Caenorhabditis elegans: one gene and its partner. The protein of the gene in region 2 purifies or fractionates together with the protein of the main gene of each other region. This does not show direct contact. Each region holds a gene or a part of one and is shown on either strand. Other genes may lie near its edges.

Evidence for each region. Proteins that work in one complex are often made in the same cells at the same time.
Region 1: the proteins of dnj-1 (region 2) and twk-37 fractionate together in Caenorhabditis elegans (co-fractionation; one large-scale study listed by BioGRID). This does not show direct contact.

Annotation. Positions count from the first base shown.
Region 1 is NC_003279.8:6,269,703-6,273,461, reverse strand, and holds the start of twk-37 (Potassium channel domain-containing protein), read left to right. Parts: upstream 1-1,928; 5' UTR 1,929-1,951; coding exon 1,952-1,980; intron 1,981-2,026; coding exon 2,027-2,086; intron 2,087-2,406; coding exon 2,407-2,591; intron 2,592-2,639; coding exon 2,640-2,734; intron 2,735-2,789; coding exon 2,790-2,876; intron 2,877-2,954; coding exon 2,955-3,084; intron 3,085-3,199; coding exon 3,200-3,365; intron 3,366-3,447; coding exon 3,448-3,706; intron 3,707-3,759. Other genes in the region: C10G11.8 (AAA+ ATPase domain-containing protein), read left to right, coding at 281-1,183, 1,225-1,449.
Region 2 is NC_003282.8:11,296,981-11,300,739, forward strand, and holds the start of dnj-1 (DnaJ homolog subfamily B member 1), read left to right. Parts: upstream 1-2,055; 5' UTR 2,056-2,062; coding exon 2,063-2,128; intron 2,129-2,178; coding exon 2,179-2,251; intron 2,252-2,975; coding exon 2,976-3,374; intron 3,375-3,759. Other genes in the region: B0035.15 (uncharacterized protein), read right to left, coding at 109-267, 326-388, 448-531, 574-688, 733-909, 959-1,110, 1,167-1,268.

The DNA.
Region 1 (3,759 bases), on a different chromosome or scaffold from region 2:
TTTGTGAAAACTAAATTATCAGTTCATCCCTAGAAAGCAAAGAGTTCATCCCTAGAGAGCAAAGATGCGGAATTTATCTAACTCGAGGTCTTTAACACTTCATAAAGCCATAGCTTGTAGTAAATGTAGTTTGCAATCTATGACGTCATCATTACACGAACTTCAAATCGTTGTAGGGTTGGAGTAGTAGGATAGACGTAGAGAATTTTGTTTTGTTTATGTCAGTTGCGTAGGGATCCTATGACTGCAGTTAAATGGTTAACAGTTGTTTTCATTACAGAAAGAGTTCATCACTCGTCAAACAAGCCGTCATGGTCGCCCTCTTGCTGTCCAAAAACGTCGTGAACAGCAATTAGTTCAAAGTCTCCGAGGAACTCCAACCACATTGGCTCGTGTCCACGAGCTTTTCGATGATGAGAAGCATGCCGTTGTGGTCGTTGAAGGTTCGAGACGTGAATGGTACGTACCAATTCTCTCGATCGTCGACAAGGACTTGCTTCGTCTGAATGCCCTCGTCATGGTGAAGGCTGGTGGAATGTTCAAAACAGTTCCAAGTGCAATCGTTGGAGTTTTGGATGACAAGATTGACAGCAATGCGATGGGACATAAAGTTGAGAAGACACCAAAAGAGACATTCGATGACATTGGAGGATGTGAGAGTCAAATTCAAGAGCTGAAAGAGTCTGTGGAACTTCCTCTTACTCATCCAGAGTACTATGAAGAAATGGGAATCACTGCTCCGAAAGGAGTTATTCTTTACGGTGAACCTGGAACTGGAAAGACGCTTTTGGCGAAAGCAGTTGCAAACTCAACATCTGCAACATTCATCCGTGCAACTGGATCCGATCTTGTTCAGAAACAAAGTGGGGAAGGTGCTCGTCTTGTTCGTCAAATCTTCCAAATGGCAAAGGAACAGGCTCCATCGATTGTATTCATTGATGAAATTGATGCAGTTGGTACGAAAAGATTTGATACTTCTTCACGTGGAGAACAAGAAGTTCAACGAACTCTTCTTGAGCTCTTAAATCAATTGGACGGGTTTGAAAGCCGTGGAGATGTCAAAATTATCATGGCAACGAACAGAATCGACTCGCTGGATCCCGCTCTTATCCGTCCTGGACGAATTGATAGAAAGATTGAGTTACCAAAACCAGATGAGAAGACTAGACAAAAGATTTTCACGGTTAGTCAATTCAACATTTCTTAAATAATTTTTATTTTTAGATCCACACCTCTGGAATGACGATTCAGAAAGCTGTCACCTATGAGAATGTATTGGGAAAGGAGAAGAGCATTAGTGGAGCTGAAATCAAGGCGGTTTGCACGGAAGCTGGTATGCTGGCTCTTCGTGCTCAACGAAAATGTGTCGGAACGGATGACTTTGAGAAGGCTGTCAAATCGGTTATGCTGTCGAAGAAGGGCGGAGCACCAGAAGGATTCTTCTCTTGACAATCGGAAATTCAATAAAGTACAAACGAGTTTACCCTAATGAACCTTTCTTCTCTTACAATGCCAGTGCAGATGTTTTTATGAACATCTGTAGTTAATTTCTTTGGTCTTTCTATGACCATAGACTGTTTGTTTTCGTAGTTTCTTTCCCTTCCAGAGCCTCAATTTGAAGAATTATGTTAACTTGATCCGAGGCGTTTTGAATACCGATCTCGAGTATAAATATTTTATTGTTTCAATGTGTTACTGTTTAACACAAGATGAGATTTGTCGTATACACTCAAATAGATACAAAAATAAATATCCAAATTTGTTTAAAAAATTTCAAACTCATTGAGCTCGCCAAGTTTCTTGAAAAAATTGTTTACGTACAGTTTTAAAAATTATAAAATTATTAAATACCACCATAACCAAGAAACGTGATATTTTCTGAGATGGCCAAAACTATTAAAAATCGATTTTTTAAAAGTCAGTTCTAATTTTTGGAGTCAATATCGTCCCAATGGTAGCATCAAATAGAAGACAATCGAGGTTTGCAGAATCATTGTTTTCATCTAAAAAAAACTACATTTTTCAGTTCAGATTCAATACCTTCAAATCAAAAATCACACAGCTCTAACCATCACACTTCTAATAGGTGAGTATAACTACAATCCACAGAAGAAAATTAGTTTGTAACCCACATGCTCGACATTTCGCTCCGTGCGATTGAAAGCTGGGAAATCGCGAAAATCTGCGACGATCTACGATAGCATGCGAAGAAATGCGCGGAAAATTCGAAACTAGGGGTAACCCGCAAAGATGTGCGACAATGTGCGAGAAAAAGCTGAAGCAAAATGTCGAGTTTCTGTATTATCTACACCAGGAAAATATAAAGACGACAGAATAGCTGTCAAATCTTCTCAAACAATACCCACTGCTTCACCACTGTCAATCCAAACTGCAATAGTCTTTCAGCGATGGAATGCAAACTCACACGGATCGACTTATTAATAAATTTATAAAGAGGCAAATGGAAAAATCTTCACCAGAAACTCAACATCTTGTCAGAAAGCAATCTATTTTAAAATTTGTTGAACGAAAGTCTAGAGCGGAAAGACCGAAGCCAACGAAATTACGAACAATTTTGAGAAAGATTCGAAGTGAGGATTTGGTTTATATTCTGCTTAAAGTAATGTTTCAAATTTCAGAATTTAATACAATAATTGCATTTGTGGTTCTTGTTGCATATATAATTGGTGGAGCTCTCTTGTTTTGGCAGATTGAATCGAGATCTGATATGAATGTTTGTAAAGCTTTTGTTTCTGTTGCAGATATATATTCATTGATAATATTTTCAGATTAATGAGTTCAAAAGAAATATTCGTCAGAAATCAATACACATCTACAATTCAATGAAAGGTAGCAAGTGTGGAAAATTGAAAAAGGTTTGTGAAAGTATTTCTGCATCTCTTTCAATTGAGCATACCCGGAAAACGCCTCGATACAATTTTCATCTATTTCAGGCAGATAATGAGTTGAACAACAATTGTATAAAAGAAATTTTTGACCTACTCTACGCTTCAAACCCTCCAAAGCATATAGAAGAGTTTCTGGATGGGCTGGCTTATGTAATCACTTGTATTACGACAATAGGTATGACTCGGGATTAACAAGTAAAATAGTATCAAAACTGATTTCGAACATTTTGAAAAATATTTTTAAAATTTTCTCCCGAGGTGTCGTCTAATCATTCTATTTTCTATTTCAGGGTACGGCGAACTTGTCTGTCACACAATTGCCGGTAAATTGGTTACTGTAGCTTATGGTATTATAGGAATTGCTCTAACACTCTACGTACTTCGCAACAATGGAAAAATAACGTTGAAAATATGCAATTTGACACTCAAAATTTTTGCAATTTGCGTTCGAAAATGGTAATTTAACATTTAAACATAAATAACCTCTTCTCAACTTTCCATATAAAATCTTTATTTGAGTTCATTATTTAGTTTTCAGTGGCAAAAAGTCGGCAAAGTATAAGATGACAGTACTGAAAGCTTTTATTCTTCTTGTCACATTTTGGGGCTTCGGAGCACTTGCAATTGCTGTCTATGAGGAGTTTGTATTCTATGATGCCTTGTACTTTTCTTTCAGTACATTTTCAACTATTGGATTTGGAGATTTTGTTCCGTCAGGTCATATCTCTGGAACTATTATTTGTGTATTACACTTTATCGATTTATCACTGATTTCAATGGTTTTAGTTCTCGTTCATGTAAGCTGTGAAGATTCCCTTGTAAGAAACCAAGTGTCTAAAGTTTACAAATT
Region 2 (3,759 bases):
TTTAAAACTTGTAACTTCATAAGCAAAACAACTTAAAATCGACCCGTGGGTACACATAAAAACAACTAAATCTACCTAGAAACCAATAACTCATACAAATTATGATGACTATTTTTCCTTTTTCTCTTCTACAGCCTTCTTCATAGCTTCTTGTGCAGTTTTCTCAATTTCTCCTAATTGACCCAAACGTTTATTCAGTCGTTCATGTTCTTCTTGGCGTAGCTGGGCAATTGCTTCTCGGACCTTATCCTTTTCTTCGTCTTCGAGCTGAAAAAAATTGTAATAATTTTTAAGATGAAGAGGTTATTGGGAAAAGCGAACTAACTCGTTGATATTCGTCCAGGAATTTCGTATTGTTACTGATATGGCGAATCTTTTTTCCGACATCCTGAAAATTAGAAGCTTTTAATTTCTTTCAGTTTTCAAGATCAATTCGATTGTTCTTACCTTTGCCTCGTCTAAAATTCGTCTTTCATCTGAATTTCCTTGTACATGATCTTGAAGAGCTGCAAGGGCATGACGATTGACAACCTGAACTAATAAAATATTTTTCAAAAATTTAATTCGAACAACTTTTTGTTTATCCTTTCTCTCAAATGGTCGAAAATATTCATAAATGTCATCTAATGTTTCTGCATTTACACGAGAAGTAACAACATGATCAGCAACAAATTCAGCGGCTTGCTTTCTGAATGAATGTTTTAGACTAATCATTAAAAACATGAATTCTACTTTTGTGCTGGTGAACTTGAATCGGAAAGTAGCTCTTGGCGGAATCGAAGATATTCTAGCGCTTCTTTGAACATCAATTTATCTTTCGGAATTCTTTCAACGGGCGGCTCGTAGAACCCATATTCCCAGATGGGATCATTCCGATGGAGAAATTCCGATTCACGAGTGGGAAGATCTCTGAATTTTATTTTTATAAAAATCAAATGCAATTTGAAACTAAACTCACTTCGTAGATGTCCATCTTTCAACTGGATCAGTTGATTTGATGTACATTTTATTCATATTTTCCACCAAACTTTCATTTTTCATCGCTAATTCTTTTTTGATTTCTTCGCTAACTTCTCGTGATTTTTCAGTTGGATATTTTGGTGGGACGACCTGAAAATTTAGAAGTTATTAAGTTAATATTTTAAAAATTATTTTTGTACTCTTACTTTTGTTTCCCCTTTTTCAATTTTCGCTACTTCTTCTACAGACTTTTTGAGATAATTCGCATTCTTCACACCAGACCCAACCTTTTTCCAAAGTCGTTTCATCTGAAAATTGTAATGACAGCAGAGAGTTTCGTCCAGAAGTGAATAGGGAAATTAATAAAAAGGATCGCAAAAATTCGGGGTACGGTACTTCTTTAAAGGTACAGCACCCGAATTTATTTTTGGGTTTCGCAACGAGTTTCGTCATGCAACTTTTATCGATTTTTTTCGCAGAATTAGCGACACGTTTTCTTATTTCTAATCCAGAAATTTCTTATTTAATTTAACCAAAATTTTGCATCATGGAGGAAATATGTGTTTTTAATATAATGCTTCAAATTCTTTACTCAAAGTTCTTTGCGAAAAAATGATTATTAGTTTTAATCCGTTTCACTGACTGAAATTTATGAACCCAAAGTGTTTAACACCCGAAATTTATTAAATTTGAAATAAATATATTTTATAAATAGAAACAAAAATAAGCAATGACGCTCCACCGCAATAGCTGCCACCGATCAATAATTGAAAGTTAGTCACTCACTGCTTCTTGGGCTACGTTGGCTACTCGCCTGCTCGTTTCTCTGCGACACTTCACTTTTTATGCTCTCTCGCTTCTCGGACAAATATCTTTTTTCTGCAAGACTAGGAACAGACATTTCGATGGCTCATTATTGGTTCCAAAAGCTTTCTATTTTAAATTCAATTTAAACCAATGTTTTTAAATTTTAATTCTATCTAGTTCGAAGTTCTTGGTTTTCTTCTTATTTTTAAACGTTATCGTTATCATGAGATCTCTTTTCTGTTGTTCTCGTTAACTGAAACAGTCAATAATCTATTTTTATTGGTTCAGCCCAAAAATGACAGCAGACGCCAATAAAAGCGAATCACTGTTGTGTATGGATAAAGCTCGAGAGGCTATTAAAGTGAGTTTTGTGATTGTTCAGCATTTCAGTTAATAAATTATGTATTTTAGTCTGGTGACACCGATAAAGCAAGGAGAATGCTGTTGAAGGCGAAAAAGTTGGATCCTGGTCAAAATATTGAATGTAAGATTTCTTTTCAGATGTAGAGCAGCGTGAATGTGAGATTTTGCTTTAAAATGCTAAAAATAGACTGAACATCAGAAATATAAAATAACAAGAACGAAAAAATCGCGAAAGTATGAAAAATCTAACTATTAAAAATTAGATTTTTCAATTTTCGCTAAAACCAATATGGATTTATCCTTTCACACTTTTTTTCGTTTCTTTTTTGTGGTATTTCCGAATTTCAGACTGTTTTGAGTATTTTCCCCTTTTCCGCTGCTCCATCTTTAAATTTCTGCACAAACTCTGTAACTTGAAAGATTTGAAAGTTGATGCACATGCCCGTATTCTGAAAAAATCTGTGTTTATTTAATTTTCCATGCAAAAAAATTGAAATCAATTTCCAATTTCCGTTCACACAAACGTCTGTTTTTCGTTTCTTCGGCAAAAAAAACCGAAGTGAAACCAAAATGACCATTACGAAGAGATACAAGATACATCATTGAAGGACCCGTTTATTACAACCCACTTGGTGAGAGAAACGATTTCTTTCACTCTCTACGCCTATCAAAAATAAGAAAAAGCAGGAACCTTTGTGCAAGAAACGTTGAGACGTGAGACATGTAATTTGAGAGTTTTGTTCTTACTCAACAGTTGTAAAGGTTATAGATAAACTTTGAAAAATCTTGAAAAAAGTCGCTGAAAATTTAATTAAAATAATTTTAAAAAAAAACACTATTTTCAGTTCTAACGAAAAAGATAGATGATATGACAAACAACACATCATCATCTTCCCAAACATCTTCATCACGTGCTTCAGAAGAACGTAGTTATGCTCACGACGATCACTATGATGACCCAAACTTAAGGAATCGAAAAGCTAGAAGTCCTGTAAAAAAGAATGGAAAAACAGAACCAGAACCAAAACAACGATCTGCATCAAGAACACCTAAACTTGGCGTTGATTATACCAGTGAACAAAAAGAATTGGTCGAGAGAATTCGTCATTGCAAGGATTATTACGAAATTCTTAAAATTGACAAGAAGGCGAGCGATGATGATATTCGTAAAGAATATCGAAAATTGGCGTTGAAGTTACATCCGGACAAGTGTAGAGCTCCACACGCTACGGAGGCGTTCAAGGGTAATTTTTTACAGTTTTAATTTGAAAATTATAAAAGACCGAATTATTTTTGAATTCCCGCTCAAATTAATGGCCTAGTTTTGACATTTTTGGTTTTCCGGTTTAATTAATTGCTGATCTTCTTTCTTGTGGTTCACATTAAAACAACGCTAGTGATAATTTTAATTAATGTTAAAATATTGATTTTATGGCCAATTTTTGAGTTTCTGCGAATTTTTACGTTTCCTTATGTTACAAATCATGAAACAAAGAGATATAAAATAATACAGCCGAAAATGCAAAATTTTCTGCAAAGTTAATAAAATTGAAAAATGTTTTAAATTTTTAAAAAATCAAATTTGGTATTCTGGGACCATTTTCCGCGATTTCGGGCAAAAAATCACCC